2 linked regions of the Lytechinus pictus genome follow. The protein of the gene in region 1 purifies or fractionates together with the protein of each later gene. This does not show direct contact. Links are inferred from orthologs where the notes say so. Each region holds a gene or a part of one and is shown on either strand. Other genes may lie near its edges. The genes, in order: 3-ketoacyl-CoA thiolase, mitochondrial-like; 6-phosphogluconate dehydrogenase, decarboxylating-like.

What was found.
Region 2: the proteins of 3-ketoacyl-CoA thiolase, mitochondrial-like (region 1) and 6-phosphogluconate dehydrogenase, decarboxylating-like fractionate together in Homo sapiens (co-fractionation; 3 studies listed by BioGRID). This does not show direct contact. The link is inferred for Lytechinus pictus from reciprocal best matches to the Homo sapiens genes ACAA2 and PGD.

The regions. Positions count from the first base shown.
Region 1 is NC_087250.1:5,139,404-5,151,793, reverse strand, and holds the start of 3-ketoacyl-CoA thiolase, mitochondrial-like, read right to left. Parts: upstream 4,510-12,390; 5' UTR 4,392-4,509; coding exon 4,376-4,391; intron 1-4,375. UniProt on the Homo sapiens protein: In the production of energy from fats, this is one of the enzymes that catalyzes the last step of the mitochondrial beta-oxidation pathway, an aerobic process breaking down fatty acids into acetyl-CoA.
Region 2 is NC_087258.1:13,305,043-13,317,072, forward strand, and holds the start of 6-phosphogluconate dehydrogenase, decarboxylating-like, read right to left. Parts: upstream 5,887-12,030; 5' UTR 5,727-5,886; coding exon 5,713-5,726; intron 1-5,712. UniProt on the Homo sapiens protein: Catalyzes the oxidative decarboxylation of 6-phosphogluconate to ribulose 5-phosphate and CO(2), with concomitant reduction of NADP to NADPH.

The sequences.
Region 1 (12,390 bases):
TAAAGCAAGTTACATATCATGTAGGCCTATATAGAAATTACAAAATTATATCCAACATAAACATAGAATCAAAGGACGTAAATGTGGGAAGGATGGAAGGAGGACGATGCAGTTAAAGGTAGGGAAATCCAGAGAAGGGCTAATTCACTGCAGTCTTTTGAATTAATTGTCAATCTTTCTATTAATGTCCGCTGTATGTTTTTATTTTTATATGATTGTTTATATGATAGTATATCAACATTGTTATCTATTACAGGCCTATAAACGGACAGGTAAATGCAAATTATTTAGAATTTCATCCCGAGAAATCAGGTTTTTAAAATGCCAAATTAATAGCATAATCCCCATGTAATCACTCTAATAGTGTATTGAGATGCAATTTGTCATTCATATTTTCGATTTTTATGAGGTTGTGTTCTTTTCTTCAAGATAAAGGCCGGAGACGGCACCCCTTTTCACAGCGTTACAACGCACGAGCTATGGGTACATCCGGGTACTTTTGCGAATCTATACCTATCGAGCAATGGCCGCCACGCTCCACACAATCACAGACGTTAAGTACGCGCGCCTATGGCGACTCCGCACTCTAGCGTAGTTAGTATACATCTCTATGGTGCACTGTGACATAAACAATGAATACATAGTACATGAAATAAACTTATGAAACAGAGTACAATACAAAACAATGTAGGGAAAATGGGGGGGGGGGGACAGGGCAACTTTATATAAAATACTAGTATGTCATTTGAAACAGAAAAAAAATCATCAACCAATCATCCCACAACTAAATCTATAAAGCAAATCACAAAATTTAGGGACCGGACGTAAGTTTTTTCTTAAGTTTTTTCTTAAAGTTATATAAGTTGGTGCATGTCTGATGTCTGTAGGTAAATTGTTCAACTTTTTTGACCTATAAAACAAATATTATGTTGATAAGAACAGGTCCTGTGTCTTGGCAAATGAATTAATGAAGAGGAGCATGTATTGTATTTATATAAATTCTGATTTGTATCAAACAACTGAGAAAAATTAACAGGCATAAGCCGATTGATACACTGATAAACAAAAAAAAATTGCTGGTAGGTTGTAATTTCTTCTAAAATAAGCAGTTTAAGCTCAGAGTATAATGTGCTAACTTTAGATCTTGGGTTTGCTCCAGCTATGATTCTAACTATTTTTTTTTTTGGGGGGGGGGGTCTAATTGCCGTTTCATCCACTCAACATTTAGTCTAATAACCAGTTGGTCCAATTTGCCAATAGCCATAAAAAAGTCCATACCATTTGGTCTAATTAGACTAAGTGTAAATTGGGAAAAATGAATGAAAAAAAATATATTAGACCAACTGATTGTGAGACGAGATGGCCATAGCCTAGGCATAACGTCCATGCGCAGTGAGTCGCCATCGGCAGTCTTCAACCTTCAATTTTGCAACCAAAAAAAAAAATTCTTACCCAAATCTTTGTATGAGATGAAAGTATCCACAAATCCTTTGAAATATATGATAAACTTTTCTCCTGAAATTGCTACAGTTTTTAGTAAGAACATCATGAATTACACACTTCCGGAACGGCGACACAATGGGCCGTATGCATAAAAACAAGCAATTGCTTGTGCTAGCCTTTTGCTTGAATCGGTATGCACACAAACAAGCAATTGCTTATAAGCAAAAGCTTTTACTTACAAGCACAAACAATTGCTCACTACTCGTAAGCAAATGCTTACCAAACAAGCAATTTACTTGTCTTGATAAGCAATTGCTTGCGTTTTTTCAAGCACCTCCGGACCAGCTTCAGCTCTTGCTTACTCAGGGCATTCTCGTTTAAGGATTAAATTTTCATACCGTTTCAAGCTCCATATTCCAGAGGTTATGTTGTGATTTCATATCTAATCAATTTCCTGTTATTTTAGACTTTTTACGGCAATTTTTGTCCATCGATCTACACAGAAACCCCCCTGATGCTCTGCGCTGTTTTCCCCCTATTTGCGTAATAAAAAAATACTGCTGCCAGTTCGGGCACGAAGCGTTGTTGTCCTACTGTGCGATGTTCGCACAACCGTAACGATCCTTTGTCCAACACATAAGCAATTGCTTAGGCAGTGCAAGCAAAAGGTTTCAGCACAAGCAAAAGCTTGTGCATACGAATTTAAGCAATTGCTTGAACTTGCCCTTTTGCTTGACCAGCTCTTGCTTTTGCTTAAAGCATTTGCTTATAAGCAATTGCTTGTCTTTATGCATACGGCCCAATGATGGGTATATTTTGAGTCGCCGATTCGAAAAATCCAATACATTTACTACACAGACATATCGCGCATGCGCACACACACGCACCGATCGTACACAAAAGTGCATTGACTCAGCTGCATTGTTGAAACCTCTCCGTGGGTTAAGATATACGTTGAGTCGCCAACCCCTCTTATTTTGATAACAATTGTCACCCCCACCTTCAAAATGAAATGATCGTGAGCATTTTTTTATAATCTATATTTTGATACCAAATATTGGTAACTTGAGCGGGCAGTTTTGGAAACATCGATTGCTTAGTGTGGGCGTCTCAAATCGTTGCCCGAGAAAAATGGCAGCTTAAGGACGTTCCACAGTTATGTTTGTGCGCATTATGATCTGCGCATAGTTTACACTGCGCGCTGACGTCACAATGGATGAACAGGTGATTAATTAGCTGCGGGTATGTGCTGATTTTTCTCATCTTCTGCACTTTAACTGCAGATCCGATGCGTTATTTCATGAAGCTAAAAAATTGAATTATTCCATGGACCATTCAAAAAAAGATTCTCTACAATTTCAAAATACTTTACTCTGCAGTGCTGCCAAGAATCACGAATATTACCCCGAGATTGAATAAATGGTAGAGTGGTTTTGATTTTTTCTTCACATAGATACAAAGCATTCGGCGCATTTTTGGTGTTTTAAAAAGCACATTTGCTCTAATAAAAGTACTGATAGTTTAAAAACAAGCACATGAACCCCTATTTTTTAATGTTTGTTCCTCTTAGGTATACCTTCCTCTACAACTCTACAAATTTTGGTGAAAATGACATGGATTTTGAATAAAGTGCAGCATTTATTGTACTTTTGTAGTTTGTTACTGAAATTTCACATTTTTTAGATTGGGATTTTGTTATCTTTTACGCCATTTTTAAGAACTGACAGTGCTGTTAAACTTAAAATTGCAAACAAATAGCACTTTAAATATATTCTCCATTCTAACGATACAATTATTAACTCTCTTGCGAAATTTTATGACTTTTTCATGTATTTTGACTGAGTAATACAGGTTAAAACTCATTGTAGTAATCTTGGGCGGTCTAAAAATGCAAAATTCTTTTGAATGCGCAATTCTTAAGAACATCAATTTGGGTGAACTTTGAAGTTCTATAGCAAAAAATCAAGCACATGGACCTATGTTAATTTTTGCATATTTCGAATATTAAGGTTCTAAAGTATCTATGTGCAAAGTTTGGTGAAAATGACATGGTTTTCACTTTAACTGTGCATGTGGAACGTCCTTAAATTCGCACCGTACAGACCAAGTTTGCAAGTCTGACTTTGACTGCGCTTAACTCCTTTGTCTTTTGCTGGATCTTTTAACCAAACGTTGCAGCATTTCAGGGAATTACTGAGGATTAATATCAGATGCCACAAGACACTTTTCAACATTGCAAAAGATTTCTAGAACCATTGTAGTCAGGCAGTGACAGGTGAGTGGCGCAACAGTAAAAAAACTCACTGCGCATGGACGTTAGATGAACTGGTCTAGACAAAGTGATGATTGGACCAAATGGTTGTTACACAAAATGTTGATTTAGAATTTTAGAGTATTAAATTTATGAGATTCATTTTTTCTAACTAAAATTTAGTCTAAAATATTGAATTTTCCTTGAAAAGCAGAACACAATTTTCACAGTCGAGACAAGGTGACATTCACAATGACAATGTCATTTTAATGATTCATTCAGTTTAGAATTAGAGCCTAGGCTAAAACAAGGTAGGAGTCTACACTTAATATGTCAAATACAATCCAAACAATATTAATTATGCCAGTTATAATACAATCCCGAAGCATGCAATCAATCTTATTCATTATGACTTAAGTCAAGAAACTAACAATTTATTTTCAGATCAATTCGCGAATTCGCAAGCGCCGCGGCGTCAACGTGCACATCACCCGGGTGCGTACAACTACAAACACTGACCCAGGGTTTCCCCGCAAACTCACAAGCAAGATGCGGTGCCGGCGATCAGGGGAAGAGACCGCACAGAGCTGGGCGCAGAAAATAAGAAATGAGACAAGACTGCATTAAAATTCGAATTATGAAATTAATTATATGGATGTCATAAGCTAATAATATAATTACCTCGAGTCAGGGCCATGATGTGACTTTCAACGACTTTAAAAGACTAATAATTTGAAGTGCAATCTCTGTGCCACTTTCTAGTAGGCCCCTAGTAGAATTCGTTCTAGTCACAAAATGCTTTTAAAAGATTTGGCGCCATCTATTGACAATTAACATACACGATCGAAGAAAATGGAAAGGGGCGGGGTCGTGGTCGGGGCGGGGGACGGGCGCGGTCGGGGGGGGGGGGGGGGCGGTGGAGATCCCATCATCATTTCAAAGAAGTTCACTTCATTGCGAAAAAGGACATGTATCATGTTCAAACAGAATGTGCAATAAAGAAATTTGCATTTTTTTTTTTCATTTATATGAATCTGTGTTTTATTCGAATATTCACTTAAATTTACTTCATGTATTTGTTATGATTCTATTTGTAAAAGGTCACATATTTCAATATGTGGACTTCTTTCGATTGTATATTTTGTTAGTTTTATTTCAACAAAATCCAATTATGAACTAAATTAAGACCCTCAAGAGCCCCAGTTACTTTTACAGGAGTACATGAATTGCGACTTTAGCGTTATAATAATAATGAAAACTTTTACCCAGGGTAGCCACTTCAGTTCCGAAAACTGTTCTCCCAGCGGGCCCTGCTATTATTATTACCCCGGCTTTAATTAGCACGGCTACCTTGATCAGGCGCTCGAGCATTCGAGGAATTTCTTCCTACCGGGTACCCATTCACCTCTCCTGGGTCAAGTTCTGCACAACGTGGATCAATTTTTTGCCGAAGGAAATTAAGCCATGGCTGGGAATTGAACACACGACCCTCTGTTTCAAAGTCCGGAGACTAATCCACTGGGCCCGGACGCTCCACGTTGACTCTATACTGTTTTTGTTACTTCAGATTTATATTAATATTTTACTTCCGACAATTGTAAGCGCTGTGATACTTTTTGTGTATAGCGCATATAAATAACCGTTATTATTATCATTATAGCTCTACTCCAGCCCTCCCCATCCCTCCCCTCTCTGGCCAGCGACGCCCTTCTTTATTGAAATTATGTTACTTTTTTTTTTCTCCCCCGTTTCGAACTCCATGCGGTTTTTCCCGGTTTCAAAAATGTATTGTAAATTCTAGATGGGCAAAATGATACGTTTATACACACGCCAATATTTTTTTCTAGGTCATATTGAGGACCGTTTAGAATGGAAAACATTTGCATTGTGTCAAAAGGTCAATCCCTCGATCCCTCCTAGATATCTATTCCCCCGCCCGCACCCTTCTCTCTCTATATATATATTCTGCCCCCCCCCCTCCTTTATCTATAGGCATTTTATTTGATTCTGTTCTGTGTCCCACTTTTTAGGCTCTAGCGTCACCCCCCCCCCCTCCTCCTCTATCACCCCGACCCTCCTCTCTATCTGTCTTTCACACACATACGGCACACAACCACACTGGGGCGCCCCCCCCCCCCCTCCCCCCAAGCAAAAAAAGGCGTGAAATATGTTACTTTCTGAACAGGCCTATTATTATGTCAAAATCTACCATAAAATAGAAACATTATTTTGCTCACTCGCAACTTTTTATATTTTCCCCCGATACGCCATATCTGACCCCCTCAATTTTTTTTTACTCATTACGCCACTGCACACACACACCTACTCCGTGTTTCGATTCTGTCTCCTCTTCACCCGGCACTGTTGATATACTTCATCTGCATTAACATTTGACCTTTGACATAGTTATTCATCATCGCTATTGCCGTGTACAAAACAGTGTTGGTGACCTTGAAAAAAACAGTCACCTTGCTAATGTTTTTGAGACAAAAAAAGTATTAAATATGGACATAATAACACTCATTTAGCTCTCCCCCCAAAACGCGAACATTTCGGGGAGGGTTTAATTCCGAAAAGGAAGAAGGATAAAATTATAGTATGAAACCTGTGAAATAGTATTTTAAAAGGTATTTGTAAAATGTATTATTTAACATGCTTAAATGCCCCTATAATTAAAATGACTGAGAAAAGAATATGACACCACCGCGAGATCCCCCCCCCAAAAAAAAAAAAATAATAATAATAATAATAATACTGGCACCGCTCCCCCGTCTACAAGAATCTGGATGGTGTTTCATAATACCAAATACACAATGCCTGCAACAAGTTTGCTTGCTCTGAGCCAATCAAACTGTATGATTTCAGTAGCTTTAAACATTTTATTGCATATAGTTGTTAGTAAAACAGGCTTTGTGAAACGGGCCCCAGATGTAGATGAAATAATTGATTGAATGAAGACATAACGGGTAAGGAATGACAAGAGAAATAGGTCGAACGTCAAATGAAAATTGATGAAAACATGCACGTGTGAGCATCTATAATTCAACCATAGCTGAACTGAATTACAATGAAACTTAATATCTGAACAAAATACTAGGTAGTTTTTGCATTTATGCCTATAGTACGGGGAAACCTGGGGGGCGGACTCTCTGCGACGCATCGATTCCTTGGAAAATGCAATTAAAATCACAATAAAGAACTGAGAGGCTTTTGTTTAATTGAAAGTTTTTTTGCTTTTTTTTTAAATTATTTTCCCTTCCACAGGGTTCTTTATTTTCAAAAAGCATAGTTACACTATATAAACATTTACCATTTTTTCAGACAAACAGTAAATAAACATGGTATATACATAATTCATAATACATAGACATGTAGTCAAACTGACTTATTATACAATCAAGTTGTCACAGCCAAATCAAATTTGGCAAGAAAAATAAGAGAACTGATACATTATATCTAAGAAATAAACACTGGTATTAATTATGTTTGTTAATGTGACAGATTGCCAGCTTGTTCGAAAAGGTTTCTGAAACGAAACTATTTCTTTCTGAACTTATTTGCTCTGAAATTTGTTTCATAAATAAGTTAAAAGTTGGTGGACTGGGACAGCAATTCATCCGAAGATTTGCACCGGAAGAAAATATAAAATTTTTAATTTAAATTCAAATTTAAATAAATGCTGTTTACATTTTTATACATACGCTATTAACTATATGGAAATAAAATAGTTGTTTAAATAGTTAAAACAAATGTTTAAAACCTTAAACAACTCTCAATAAATTTGGCATGCAAGGTTCGCTTAGTAAACAAGATATTGATTTTACTGTGTATGAATCCTACGATTATAGCCTTGGATATGATTTTAAACAGCGTTTTTCCTATAGCATTCATAAGCCCCAAATGTTGACTGCAAAGTCGGGTAGTGGAATCGACATTTATTTTCATAATAATTATGAACGATTAGTTTAGTGTAGATCAGTCGAAGGCTAAATTGGCAGAAATGTTGAGGTCGAATTAGAGGCAGGGTCAACATTGCCTACAAGCGGGACTTTTTTTTTTTTTTTTTTTTTAAGGAGCAAAACAGTTGCATGATCAAGCACATTGCCTTTATTTTTTATGTCTTCCTTCATTTCTTCCCCTTTTTTGTTCTCTTTCTTCAATTTCTGGGTTTTTTTTATGGGGGTGCATTTTTTTCTCTTTCTTTCTCTCTCTCTTTCTTTCTTTCTTTCTTTCTTTCTTTCCGTCTTTCTTACTTTCTTTTTTAATTCATATATCTATCTTTCTTTCTTCTTTCTTTCTTTAAGTTTAGTTTTTTAATGTAATTTTTGTTTATTAATTTCTTTCGTTGTTTTCTTTTTTCTTTTTATCTGTCAATCTTTCCATCTTCCTTGATATGACAGTGTGCAGTCAACCCCTACGGCCATACCTGCCTACTCCTATATCTGCACATACGTTTATTGAAATGACAATGAAATAATAATCTGCCACCCCACTTCCCATCTCAGTAGGACACCCCCCCCCCCCGTCACCAGTCCCAATTAAGCCTCCCATTAAGGAGGTTGGTGTACTTTTGTTCAATTTAAATCTATATCCCTTCCTGTCTGACATGAGTTAATGAAACCATGGCAACGCGAGACATTTATCATGTTGATATCCCATGCCCAACAGAACTTGACCTTATAATGATCAAAGGGTAATCGATAATTGTGTCTCGCCTAATTGCGAACATGATTAGAAATCGAGCGATCGTTGTGTAGCCACACTGTTCATGGACCGGGCTCGTATAGAAATACATTTTCATTGAAATTAATGATAAGTTATTCATGTTGCTTCAACAATACCACACGGGTAACACAACAACTGCTGAGTGATGCTTGCCTATGAAAAAAAAATCATATAAGCAGACCGGGTACGTGGGATTCGAACCCGGCACGACCTTTGGATCACTAGATCAGCGTCATAACCACTAGACCACCAAGTGCCCTAAATTATCTGGGTCAAGCTATCCCATTATATTAAATATCAAATCGAAGGAATCATCTTGAGTGATAAAGATAAAAGATAAGTTATTCATGTCTTTCCAACAATACCACAAGGCTAACACGGCAAGGGTAACACAGCAACAACAGTTGATGTGTTAGCCTTGTGGTATAAGTTGGAGAAACAATAATAATAATAACAACAACAATAATGATAACGGTATATTTACCCAGGGTAGCCACTTCAGTTCCGAAAACTGTTCTCCCAGCGTACCCTGCTATTATTATTACCCCGGCTATGCTATATAGGCTACCGATTCATGTGCAAACAGCTTTTTGAGGAATAACTTCCTGCCGGTACCCATATACCTCACCTGGGTCGAGTGCAGCACGCTGTGGATGAATTCCTTGCTGAAGGAAACTACGCCATGGCTGGGATTCGAACCCACGACCCTCTGTTTCCAAGTTCGGAGACTAATCCACTGGGCCACGGCGCTCCACTGAACATGAATAACTTATCAGTTATCTTTATCACCCAACGATGAATCCTTTGATTGATACCTGCCATTGAGGTTCCACGACATTTGCTCCGGCGATGATTACTCCAATGGAAAGTCTACACGTTATAAGCCAAACACACCTTATAACCCAGGGGCCGCGGAAGCGGGGAGGGGGGCTTCAGCCCCCCCCCCCCCTCCACTTTTTTCCAAAACCGTGTACAAAAAAAACGTAAAGATGACCATAGGATTGTGATTTTTGCATGGTCAGCCCCCCTCCCCCGCCCACTTTGAAAACCGTTCGTTCCGCGGCCCCTGTAACCTAACCTCCATAACTAAAGAAACCCGAATTATAACCTATATACATTATTCTGAACCAAAAACTCTGTTACAATACCAACTCCGACCCTCTGAGATATTAAGGCCGCAGATCAAAATGTAGCATGAGCATATATCGTGTCACTGCCATTGAACGCTCAAACGTATAGATGGGGGGAGGGGGGGGGGGGGGGGGGTCCCCCACCAAAAAAAAAGAGAAAAAGAAGAAATGAATTATGGACTGACAAGGGTGAAATATGACATAGATTGATACAATCTACCATGAAATTAGCTCTTTGTATTAACAAGGTCAACATTTTTGCTCACACACTTCGCTCGCTTGCGACTTTAAAAAAATGTGTGTGTGTATTTGAGTTTTGTCAGACGTGTATCAATCAGATATGATTATTTACGTCTGGGACCGACTTTTAACGTCACCATCTGGGGAGTGTTTCATCAACATTTGTCAGATCTGACATCTTTCATGCATGTTGATTGGCTGAAAGGCACTGTTCCTATGGTAACTGTCGGATAAAATGGGACTTGTCGGATAAAACGTCCGACAAGTCCTTTCATGAAACGCTCCCCCGATAGACGTGACCAGGGCTCGAACCTCGAACCTCTGATCAATTTGTAACTTCCCCACATAGCTTGGAATACAGGCACACGCCACAACGCCCAGTTGTGGCGTGTGTTGTCCCACACAACATGTTTGACCCCCTCAAAATGTTTGGCTTATTACGTTACTGGTTGAATGTAACATCCATTTCCTCATCACGTGACCTTTGACGGAAACACATTCACGCGTGCTTCTACAACCAAGGTAGAATATTGTGTCATGGTTGCAAGGTTGCGTCACGAGAGAGCTTTGTGGGTGAACTTTAGCATTTGACCTCAAGCTACATTTGACCTTGATATGTGACCTGCCCAGCAACGTACCATTCCAATCAACAATAAAGCTTGCGTACAACGTTGGACTAACGTAACCTTGTGAATTCGTTTTAACAATTAACGTTGCGTCAATTGTGTGGCAGGCAACGCTGCATCCTTGAAATTAGAATCGTCAGTCCAACGATGTTTACAACGTTGGTCCGACTCCGACGATATCTGGCAACAACGTTGCTCCAACGTTGGCAGCGTTCTCTTCCAACGTTGACACAGTGTTGTCTTCTAACGTCCGACGAGTTTCGAGTTAAACGTCACTTTGTATGTAAGGGATGGGAAATGCCCATTGATTGCTGATACTGTACTTGCCAACTGTATCGCTTGGTCGGCAGGGCACTGGAAAAAATTGACAAGCCCCCCCCCCAAAAAAAAAAAAAACGTTTTCACTCGAAAAAAATGATGGTGATTTTTGTCAGAAAAAGATCGTTCGACCCCCTCCCCCCCCAAAAAAAAAGGGTTTCGCTGAAAAATAAACTAATCAAGGTATTTTTTTGGGGGGGAGGGTCATATTTCTATTTTTTTACATAAGGGGTGTTGCCAATGGCGTAAGACGTACACAAAAATAAGTCGTCACGAACCGTTCAAAAATGGAAATTTATGCGTTTTATATCATATAACATATGAGGCAGCTGTTCGTCTATGATGTCACAAATCCAAAACATTAAATTCTACTAACTTTCTTAATCTTTAATGGATTTTCCTCAAGCCTGCACCAATATTTTTTAAATTATTTTTCTGCTCTTTTTACAAGAAGCTTTTCTTCAGGTTGAACTTAATTCTACCTTTAAATCTCAGTGTGCCTACCGGGGCCCGTAACCAGTAACACGAAGCTAAGCGATCAATCTTACACAGTAAAAACGCTGTTTTAAATTTTTATACAACGCTGTTTACTGTATGAACCTTACAGTAATTGTTTAAACAGTTTAAACAAGTGTTTAAAATCTAAACAACAAAGTTTAATTTTCAATATCTAATCTTCAATAAATCAAACACGATTGTTTAAAGTGTTAAACAACTACTGTAAGGTTCATATTGTAAACAACGTTGTATAAAATCCTAAACAGCGTTTTTACTGTGTAGGGCAAATTTCTGCAATATTATTAATTTGAGTATTTAGGAGTATAAGATCAATCGTAGGAATAAACTCAACAATCAATCGTTAAAGGCTTTGTGTTACGGGACCCTGGTAAATATCAATGCCTTCGCCTGGGGAGCATTTCACTAAGAGTTATATCAGTGACGCTCATGCACAGCCAATCAAAAGCAAGGATTTCTGGTAGCTCAGGTCCCCATGAAAGGTGTCCCTGTTCTCATGTACAAGTTGTAAGGACATGAGATTAAATACTGAGCTTCTTGATCTCTGTTAGGCCAGACAGCGAGATCTAGCCGCCCCCGCTCCTCCATTTTTCCCATAAAAATAACTTCCCGTTGCAAAGTACCTACAGATTGAGAATGGTTTTCAATGAACACGATATGTATCAGCGGTGTAATGACCCCCCCCCCCCAAAAAAAAAAAAAAAAAAAGAACACAAAAACCTCCGAGGTGGCACAGTCATGGGGTATGGGCGACCGATGTACGTACCCCTTGACCCCTATTTTTTTAAATTAGCGAGTTTTCAATACAAAAAATGTCTCATAGATTTTGACATAATATTCAGAAATATATCATATTTTACCCTTTTACACCTTTTTTTCCTGGACATTTTTTTTGAGGGGGTATCAATGCCCCCAAGCCTCGCCCCCCCCCCCCCCCCCACCTGCACGCCTGTGTTGTGTGTATTAAATTTCGCTATTACGTTTGAGGCCGCTACCCTAGTCAAGCACTGCTTATGGTAGCGGTCTCCAGCATTTTTTTTTTGTCTACTCAACAAAGTACAACTTATAATATTGCAAACTAATACTATCTATATACATTTTTGCCAATGAATTATTATTTGTATTTATTTTTGTAAAAAGA
Region 2 (12,030 bases), on another chromosome or scaffold:
GTGATATTCTTGATATGGACTGGTATTTCAAGCTTTTAAAGATTGATTTCTCACAACAACACATAATGACACTTTCACACTTCATACCAGAAAAACACAGTATTAAACTTCATGAAAGCGTCTTTTTTTTCTGAATCATTAAATCAGTTGATATGCACTGCACCTCCAACAAAATGCTCAATTAATTTCTGGAGCAGGGCATAAACATATGATGCTGCAAGACCAAAGTCTGCATTTTTAAAGCATTATTCAAACTCGTCATTAGATAAATCAATTTAAAAGGATTTTTTTTAATGGATGTCTCCCTTTCAGCATTGAAAGGAACCAGGAAATGGTCCATTTTCACAGGTGCATGCAGTGTACCTGTTTGGACTGTTTGCTAAAGCACAGTCACAGTGCAAGGTGCAGCGTGCATGCTAATGAATGAGGCTTCAGATATCTAGGCGCAATCTTTAATCAGAAAGGATCCATTGCAGATAAATCACTACCGCTTTCAATTTCAGCTGCAATATCTAAATTTGCCACAGGGGTAGTGTGAGAAGATTGTGCATTGCTGTACGGTAATTGAATGTACAAACATTTGACTGGACAGCGTGTTTGGAGAGGAATTCATTTTCATGATGGTGGGTGGTGTTGCTATAACAACTTGCAATAATGCATTCCATAAAACAATCAACCATTATTGATAACCCTTGTTTTCACAAATTTTTACTGTATAGAGTTTTTGAAAAAGATATTTTTTGCATTTCATTTTAAATCTGTACAGTAATTTGTTGGTTTTGGGCCAATTTCTTTTTTTTATAACTCATTTTTTGCTACATAGTGGAGATGACAAACTTCATGATGTACAGCCAGGAGTAGTGCTAGCTCCACCTTCCTCTCTCCTTCTAGACACTGTACCAAGTACTAGTATTATAATTTTGTCTCGGAAAGCCAGTGGCAGACAGCAGCCACTTGTATTCATGGTACACATGTAGTATTTACAGTTACGTACATGTACATGTACCTGTATTGTAGGTACTTTAGACGTGCATAAATTCCTGGTGACTTTAAAATTGCAAGAATGCCCTTCATAAATTAGATTAAAGTCTCCATTAACATTCTGAACAGCCAAACACCTCACTCACTCTAACAGCGGATGCATGCACAAATTGATGCATGAGAGGACTTGTAAGTAACATTTGGCAGAACCATCCTCCAACATTTGAGACAGTTAAAGACAAACACAAAACAAACAAACAAACAAACAAAAACAAATGTTTAAGACAGTAGCTACAGTACAGCATATATGTACAGTGTATTTCAAGGTTATTTATTCAAGGTTTCCCTGCGCACAATAACATTTCAAAACTTTTCATTTCACTGTTTATTAAAATTAAAAATTCATCAGATTAACTTAACTGTACATGAAGTGAAATACTTCATTGTGTCATATTCAATACTTTTGTTTGTACTGCAGTGTATGCAGGCAAAATAATATTTGGGAAACATTAATCGATAGGGGATGGAGAGAGAAGCACTTAAGAAAACACAAAACAAGTGATGTGAGAAACATACATGTACTGTAATGACAGTACAATTTTATATGTTGTTACCATGACAACACATGACCCAATACATTACAAATGTTGCCCAGTCCTCATCACTCCAAGACAAATGCACAAGCCAACTTTCAAAGTCTCATGAACACTGGTATCTATAGTCTCTAATGGGGCAATGCAAGAAACTTGCGATCAATTGCAAGTCTATTTTCGTTCCCAATATCAAGCATATGCCATGCAATTAATTGCAAATTTGCGATTGATTATGCTATTAAATCTGCTTCATGAAACAAGGAGTGTAATCTGATTCGCCATAGTTAAAGGTGATCAATCAATTGTAAAATTGCAACAGAATATTTGGGATTAATTGCAAAAATTTTCTTGCAACACCCCTTAGCCTAATTCATTTTACAGGATTTTCCCTGATTTACATACTTTCTGTCATAATTTTATGCTACCACATGTGGCAAAATAGTAATCCCCATGTTTGAAAATTGTGTCTTGCATGCCTTATTATTGGCAATATTATCGCTTAATTTACAAGCGATAGTGGTACTTGGCAGATTGCCTAAGGTGCATACAGTACTTTGAAATGGAAACTGGAGTTGTCAATAAAACCTTTTGAAAATAAAGGGCAATATTTAGATTTTGAAGACTGTTATTTCAACTGATCACACATACACAGTATATGAAAAAAAGACTTTCAAAACATAATCATCACTTTCTCTTTCACTTTTTAACCAACTTTGATAGAATTTGTTTCAATTGCTTTTTTTCTATCATCTTTTTAATTATAAAACCAAAACTGATTTTCCCAGGGTTTGATTTCCTTTAAAAATCAATTTCTTCAAAAATTTTCTTGCGGACATGACTCTCATAAAGGAAACCACAACCAAACAGTAGTAGCTAAAATTTGGGGGATTCATGAAAACAGGATGCAAACAAGAATTGCAAAGAAAAGGGTGTAAATGACTTCCTGGTTGCATGCACTGAATGTACAACGGCATACAAATTACTTTTTGTAGAACATGGATGAAGACTCAAATAATTTGGAGTGAAATTTGGGACTATCTACAAGTTTGTCCATATCCAGAGCTAAGACGCACTTCTTCATGTTCTGTACATAAAACAGACCAACCTGCTTTCGTGACCACATCAGAAGTTTGGTTTCCCTTGAACAGTATAAATTTCCCATTGTATTACAAAAACCAGTCCAAAAAGACCACTTGATAAAGATCACATTTGATTTCTCCTCTCCCATGTATGGTCTAAATAGACAGGTTTCACTGTACTGGTAGGTATTTCATAAAGCTGTTTGTAAGATATGAATGACTTTACGCGCGACTAGTGATCCTTTCTTGAGCTGTGTGACATCCCTATGTAATTGATTTAGGACCTAAGAACATGTTCCAGTCATGCGGAAAGTTGTGCGTAACTTTACGAACAGCTTTATGAAACACCCACCAGGATCAGTCACATGTACATGTATGTCTATAGTACTTTTAATAATGATATGAAATGGTTGATGTGGCAGGTAAACCCGAGTAGAAGATTAGAAGTACATCAGTAGTAAAGTTCTATTAAAGCCTATACGTGTGGTTCTGCGGGGAATAAAGTATCACATCCCAAATTTTGTGTGACAGATTTTTACATACATGTAGGACTGATAGCTTTACTCTTGTGACCAAAAATGCTAATTAAAGTTTGTTTTTAAAAGCAAAATTGGCTGTTCTAGTCAATGGTCTCCTTATTAGACACACTCAGTGCATATTTTCCATTCCAACAACCAGACAATATTTTTTTTCAACTAATATTCATCACTCTGAATGCTCAAGTGCTTAAGGACACAACATTCAGATTGAATAGTTTTTAGTAAACCAGTCTGAATTCATCCTACATTGTACATGTATTGCAATCAATGGATATCACTGTTTCCTGCTTGAGCATAAAAAGACATTTAGACTAGAGTCATGGGTCAGTAATTATCGCGGCCATGGTGTTGTTATCAACAATTGAAATGAAAGCAGAATTTGTCCCCTCCTCGTAAACAGTTGCTGAACAAAAAATGAGGAAGTGAAGGAATCTATAGTTTGGGTCTATGATAGGAATTTCTTTTCAACTCATTTGCATTTAATGCAGCTTAGCATGTAAATGTACAGTACATGTAGATCTGACAAATGCTTTTTCAAAGCAGTAATGTGGGGCTTCAAACAGAGTCCTCTTTAAATAGTTGCCTGAATACTTTGTATGGAAACCATACATGTACATGTATGTATCTAGTTTTCCTACATTCATATACATGTACATGTAGCTTGTAACTTTCAGGTACCGATACGAAAGATTCACCAAAATTTGAAAACAAATTCTCAAGCCCCTTCCTAAAAACACATACATGTAAAGCACAACAGAAAGCCAGCAAGTCAAATGCCCAATAATGTTCTAAAATATTAAACTTATATCCAGCAAATTTAACAAATTCTGGAATCAGCCTACGATTTGTTTTACACCTCAGCAGTGATTCTAATTTCAACTGTATTTGAGCACCTTGTTGCACAATCTAAAGTTTTGAAATATGTCCAAAGGAAATACTTAAAAAGGAGAAGATAAACATGTATGCACTACTTTGCTAGAAATAAAACAAAATCCTATTTTGCTAGATTGTAAATGTTACATGTTTAATACAACAAGTTGCAAAATGTGATCAGTCATGCATGAATAATTATAATGGGATGATGCATATTTTCAGACCTGTCTGTGATAATTAAAGTGCTGATGATCATACTTTTCATAGCTTGTAATTTTCCTGATGGCTCTCACATTTAATTAATTTGAAAATTGGTATTCATATTACAAATATTTTTGGATGAAATAAATTCTTATGTTGCCTCATTGAAGGTAGAATCAAATCTAATAATTTCTGGTCAAAATGAGCAAAGCCAACTAAAAATCTCAGAATCTTATAAGTTATAATATCAAATGAACATAAAAAATCCTCCAAACTCTGAAAAAATCAGCCATGATCACTGAGGCATTGGAAAATACCCTTCAATGACCAGTCCAAGAAAAGTCTGACATTCATATTAATTTTCATGTACATGTAGCTGGATACAAAGGCTTTACACATACTTTTCTCTTTCAAACTATACAAAACTCATTATAGGATAGCTTTATTTTCAATTTCAAACTTTTTAATACTTGTAGTTCATTCTTTATTTTTTATTTTAAAGTGATGTAGACACTGCATGTACAAAAGCATCCCTGAATCCTTTTTCTTTGTAGTGCATTCATAGCGCAAAGCTTAAGTCTGTTTTTTATGACAAAAGCATGCAAAGATTATAAAAACATTGGACTTATTCTCACGTTTCCTCAAAAACTTTTTGTCTAGCATGGGGTCCAGCATTTCGAGAAGAAAAATAAGATTTATCACTTTTATCAGTATATGGATTTATTTTAAAACTTGATTTTTACCATCTGCTGGCATGAAATGGTTTTTCAAAACCTTCTAAGTTGTAATTACATGCAGTTATTTTTCAATTTCAATTTTTTTTTTTTTGGGGGGGGGGGTGTGCAAATGAAACAACTTAAATATAGGCCTACATGTACGTGCAAGTGACATTACGGTAGATATCTAACTTGTGACGAGCGCGAGTAGGAGAGCAACGTCATTATTGTCGACACTAATTAGACAGGAATAACCGTCGTTTCTGGGGATTAATTCAACAATTTCTGACACTTTACTAGTGAGTGAGCCAACGCAGTTCAGCGGAACAACCAAAATACAGATTACAGAGACTGAAGCTTTTGGTCTAGTCTCTAGACATTAATGTGCTTTGATCTTATTCTTACTCTTCAAACCCCTCCTCAAGGATCCTAAGCCAAGGTCAAACATGGATGAACGGGAGAATAGCATGTCATAAAACATTCCTACATTTTACAAGAATAAATTTGCAGCATGCTGGTCATCGCCGCGCCGAATCCAATGGCCTGGCGCTGACCCTGGGAAATTCACAGGATGGAAGGCCAGCGAGCAATCCTCGCCAAAGTTCCACACCCCCAATCATCCGTTTTATTTTACTATTAAAATTGAAATTATAAATGCTTCGAGTTGATTGAATCATATTACCCTCCCCCTATATATCTATTTTCTTGAAATTGATAAAATAGCACTTACACTGGTTCAGCCATGGTTGATTTTGGAGAGATTTTGCCGTGGTACAGCCGAAGTCAGACGAGATACCGGAAGCAAATGAAATGCGGAGATCTCGAGAGCTAGAGCAACGGACGTCGTGACTGGTGCCGGTGCAACGTGTGCAGTGCATGCAATATAAAGTATGAGTGGGTGTGTGATGCACATGTGTGCTTCACGGGATTTCCCCCCAAGACTTTGAAGGAGCTAGGCGGGGAAGGTGGGGGGGGGGGGGAGATTTCCTTGGCATTTCCATTTTTACCTCAATTTTCTCGGGTTAAAACAGAAAACCTTGATTCGATCACCTTCGATCATCATCACTATCACTTGAACCAGGGGCGGCGGAACGTATTTCGTTGGGGGGGGGGGGGTGGCAAAGCCAAGAAAGGGCATTTAGATTTATGTCAAAATGGGCATTTTCACCATGAGATTATATTATGTGTGAAGAAGTTAACGTGTATTTTGTAGTAATAAAGATTAGCAAAGATTTCTGATTGATATTTAGGTATTTTCCGCGAGCGATCGAGCGGTTCGAAAAAAAAAATCAAATCTGATCGAAGCTGTACAACTCGCTTTTTGGTCAATTATGGCGCTAATTACACTGTACTGTTAAAGGGCATCCTTGCGAGATGTTGCGAATCACGAGCTCAAACTTTTTGACATTTCATTTAAGACATGAAAAGTTAAGGCGAGCAATTTTGTAAATCATGAAAAAAGATGTGTCTATATATATAATTAACGCCAGCGCAAAGCGTGAGCTGAAATTTGTGATTATTATTCTAACCTGAAAACTGGACATGCTAAGCATTTTTTGTAACTATAGGAACAGAATGAGTACCTTAATAAACAATAAATGATGCGAGAGCGAAACATGAGTCAAAGGTGTGTGATATTCCCAGTGATATTACAACCTGAAAACTGGACATTCTATTTTTTTTTTAAAACCATGAATAGGAAGAATACCTTACTAAACAATAATTGATGTGAATGCAGAACTGCACGAGCCAAACATTTTGTGATTTTGTAATCTAAAATGTATTGTTTTCCTTTAAAAAAGGTATTTCATTTTGAACAGGGGTACATTTCATTTCATTAAAAAAAAGGGCATTTTCCATTTTGAAAAAGGCCCGTCTGGTTCCGTCGCCCCTGCACTGAACCACACCACCACCACCAAAATTAAGTGCCCTTCATGACAAAGAACATCCAAGAAGTTTCTCATTATCTCGAAAATTGGTGAATCAAACCAGCAATTTCGTCCTGGACTATGGACAATTACGACATACTAGTAGTTTAAACTGTTCGTTAGCTCAAAAACTTAAGACGATCTGCTGTTCCGGTTTCTCAATTTCCGACAAAGACCTCCCAGCTGTTCATTGTCATTTGACGGACATTTTCAATGCTTTAACTTCATGTGTTCTTGAATTATTCGTTCTGAGTTGCGGTGCAAAAACTTGTTAATATTTTTTGAGTGACGAACACTAACTTGATCATGTTAAAGTTTGTGTCAGCCCTATATTGATCATCAAATTTCATTCATTTCTCATTGTTTATAATACTTTTTACTGATAATACTGGAATCACAGATGTGATTTCATGTGTCAATTTGGTTATCAAAATACATTATATATTTCAGTCAATAAAATGGGGCTAACCTGCATGGAGTGTATGCTCATAAGCTACACAGTAAAAACGCTGTTTAGTAAGATTTTATACAACGCTGTATAATATATCAACCTAGTATTTGTTTAACAGTTTAAACAGTCATGTTTAATTTATTGAACATTAGATATTGAAAATTAAACTTTGTTGCTTAAGATTTAAACACTTGTTTAAACTGTTTAAACAATTACTGTAAGGTTCATATAGTAAACAGCGTTGTATAATTTTTTTTTACTGTGTAAACCTAGTATAGTTTGATCTTGCTTCTACTGTGAATTGAGAAGAGCGCCATCATAATGATTAACAAGGTTATTGTTAAAACTTTGAAGGCCCTTAATGTACTTAGGGGCAAATAATAAGTAACAATTTTAAACAAACATGTAGACCATTATCATTGCTTTTAATTTCTTCAAACGAGCATGAGAGGAACATGTAAAGTGATATTCAGTTATAAACCTTTGCATTTTTTTATGAAGTGCTCTTTGTCATCTTATTAAAAAAAGAGGGAGTTTTTTACAAGAAATATCAAGAGAAAGAAAAAGGGACAAAAAGAGAAAAAAATAGTCGTTAAATGGTGAAGAAGATGGAAACTGAAGACGAAAACCAAAAAAAAAAGAAATAATGGGAGAGAAAAAAGAATTATTCAGAAAAGAGGAAGACAAAATAAGAAGAAAACGAGAAAAATAAATTAAAAAAGTATAAAGAAGAGTATAATATAAGAGATAGAATGAAGAAGGCGGAAAAAAAGACGAAGAAAATTCGAAAGCCAATTAGATAACAAAAGGAAGCAAGATAAAAAATCTTAAAAGAAAAAGGTTGAAAAAAGGAGAAATGAGACAGGCAATAAGATGATCTACAAAACAATCCAAAATACAAGTTGGTTAATTATACTACAATAGCTTTAGGGAAACTCACAGTATCAATGATTTAAAGAAAAAAGATAATTGAGAAAAATCCCCAGGTATTTGAAATTTTACTCTGGATCAAAATATTATGCGACGCGAGCAGTTCAGCCAAACGCGTCGATATCGAATATTTTTGTTTTGTTTTGAAAACAACATGAAATTCAGGCTGAATATCTGGGTGTTCTCTTTCATTTTGGATACTGAATGATTATTTAGGAGGATAAAAAAGGATTGAGCCATGAGAAAATATTCATCATCAGATCATGTGCTCCATGGCAACGAAACCCAAGGAGACACAAGGGAAATCTTCGTATGTCCTTTCATGTTCAGTATACGGATTATGAAGCATCAAACAAGTTTCTTCGGTTTGGTTTATTCACCTGAACTTCTTGGAAGACGTCCTTTTGAGAAAAGAAATCATGAATATTTAGTTATCTTTTTCCAAATATTTTCCGACCGCCCTTGTTCTCTCTACTTATAATGTGCAGTTATACAGACCAAGGATAGTCAGGAAACTTTGAAATATTTTGTTTTGTCTGTATCTGTGATCCATATTGAACACAACTTCTGTTGACGTCAATTATCCTGTTACTGATAGAATGAATTGTATTGGTATTTGTATATCTGTTATTTCCTTCTAGATAATATCATATATATTTTACAATTAAAAAGAAAGAAATAAATGATTGCATGGTGAAATGAGAATTGTTTTGCCCCCAAGCGCAACTCCCCGAGCGCAATGAATACAAACAACATGCAGGACTGGTGCCATTTGAGAACGAACGCATGTGTATATACTTTCATAAAGAGAAACTTTATACAATAACACTATTAATATCATGCCTCTTTAAGCTTGTGGTGAGTGTGTTTGTAATTTTCTACATTTCGACCAACGGGGGAAAAATATTTCAATTGGTGCGTTATGTTCAATTACCCATGAATTATGTAACAAATTGATCACTGAAACATATTAGTCCGACAGGTATGTGGTGGAGACAGATAAGAATGAGAACAAGAACGTTGACGAGATTTCGGAAAGCTGGAATTCTGGATGAAGACGACAGATAATGGCAGTACTCGTCCATTTCGTCCACTGCCAGCTCGTCCACTCACCACATGGTCTATACCTTCATTTATTCGTATGCCATTCTGTCCATCAACATTTCGTCTAGCAACTAGTTGGTCCAATAACCATCTGGTCCAACCATCATTTCGTCTAATCACTAGTTCGTCTATGACCACTTCGTCTCATAACCAGTTGGTCTAATGTTCGTTTTGTTCTCATTCCTTTTGACCAATTAACACTTAGTCTAATTAGACCAAATGGTATATCAACTAAATTGCTATTGGACCAACTGGTTATTATGACGAAATGGTGAGTGGATGAAATGGCAATTAGACCATGTGGATATTGGACGAACTGATGGTAGACCAAAATTTAGACGAGTTGGCAATTGGACGAATTGGCATTGTTCTAAATCAACCCATTCCCCCATACATGAAAAAGGTAAACGTACCGCTTTGTTCCTGTTTGGAGTGATGAATGCCCAACTACAATTAGAAGGTGAAACTTTGCACCATTTTTTTTTCGGGGGGGGGGGGGAGTGAACTGACCATTACTTTGAAGTCTCTCATTGACTGTGTGTCGTAAATAAGTAATTAAAAATTGTTGAGATAACCATCAATAATACAGAGAATGAAATTGGACAATAACTTTATTCATATTGAGAAATTCAAATATGAACCCTTCTCTCTCTCTCCACCCCCCTCTCTATCTCGCTTAAAGGTCATGTCCAACCCAGAAAATGTTGATTTGAATAATCAAACTAGTATAACGCTGAGAATTTCAACAAAATGTAAAATAATAAAGTAATGACATTTTACAGTTTCCATTATTTTTCACACAAAAAAAACCCAGTGATATGCACAACTCAGTGACATGCAAATGAGACAGTCGATGATGTCCGTCACTCACTATTTCTTTTGTTTTTTATAGTTTGAATTATACAATATTTCATTTTTTACAGTTTTGACAATAAGGGCCAACTTGACTGAACCATATAGTATTAAACAATGCTAATTCCACATGTTCAGGAAGGAATTAATCGTTTATTTACTTGACAATGAGGAGAAAATCATGATATTTCATATAATAAAAGAAATAGTGAGTGGATGACGTCATCAGTCTCCTCATTTGCATACCGACCAGGATGTGCATATAACTGTTTTGTGAATTTAGCGAAACTTTAAAATGTCATAACTTTCTTATTTTACATCCGACTTTGATGAAATTTTTAGTGTTAGATTTTCCGTTTATTCCAATCAACTTTTTTGTTGGGGGTGGACCTGTCCTTAAAAGAAAGCTCAATTTTAGTACAAAAAGTGTTCACTAATTACATTAATACAAAGTTTTCATCCTTTGGTCATTTGAAGAAAATGAAATTTTTTGAAAATGTTAGCTTATGTGAAAACGAACAACAACAAAAAACCCACCCAAAGAATAAAATCACTAGAAGTGTGAGAATACAAAATAAATGAACGAACAATAAGAAAGTTATGAGCATTTGAGTATTGAAATAACTAATACTATGGAGATCCTCCAATTTGCATTCATTTTGTTAGTACCAACATTGTCCATGATATTCTGTGAAACCTCATTACAAGTCCTCCCGTTAAAAGTGCACTTGATTTATGGATAGCCTTGATAAAAAGTAAAAATCTGAATAAATATGCATATCCCCACTTTCCTTTTTCTTATATTATTACATGAAATCATTTTTCATCAATGTGTAAATGATGATGTGTCTCCATTATGATGAAATAATTTGCAGCAAGAAATAACTAATTCACTTAATCAGTTGTCAGTTCAATTGTTTTAATTCTTGGTAGAACAAATTTGAATGAACCTAATTCCATACAAAGAACAAGTGGGGATATGATATCATTAACACATTCATGAATATTCATGAAGGCATGCCTAGAACTGTTTCACCAGAATAATGCAAGTCTTTAAAATTCAATAACTTTGCTATTTGTTATCCGATTTTGATCAAATTTTCAGCATTTGGCTGTGTGAATTTTACTCTATTTATTGAGATATAATTATCTTTATCCCGGAGCATCCCTTTAAATGGTCATAATGTTCATATTAGTCATTCAATTTTTCTCAAACCTTCATTAGTTTCTTTCTTTGTCTTTTTTCCCCTATTCATACCTGCTGACTGGTTTCAAAGATTCCATTTTACAGCAGATCCCCCGGTTTAGCTGAATAAAGCGATGGATCAACGATTCCGTGAAATGAGCTAAATTGAACGGATCAATATGTAGACAGAGAAGTATCACACACCTGAGGGAGCATTAACATTTACTAAGGACGAGAGAAACCATACAGCGATTTATATAATCTGTTTGTCAGACTAAAAGAAAACATCAAAATATTATACATTATGATTACAAAAATAGGCTTATGTTGTATCTGGGACGAAGTTCTATGTATAATACCGATTACCTTCCATTAGTCATTTGCATTCAGCATTTTGCAGGATTGTTAATTATTTTTTTTACATTGTTGAATCGAGAACGTGGTAGTCTCAGATCAGCATTTATCAAATTTTGGTTGCACTTCATCTGATTCACATCCATCGGAAGTCATAAAAAGTAGCTTGGATGTATCTTGTCAATTTTTTAAGAGTTCGATCAGCACGTAGTGTCCATGGACATGGTATTTTTTTTTATTCGA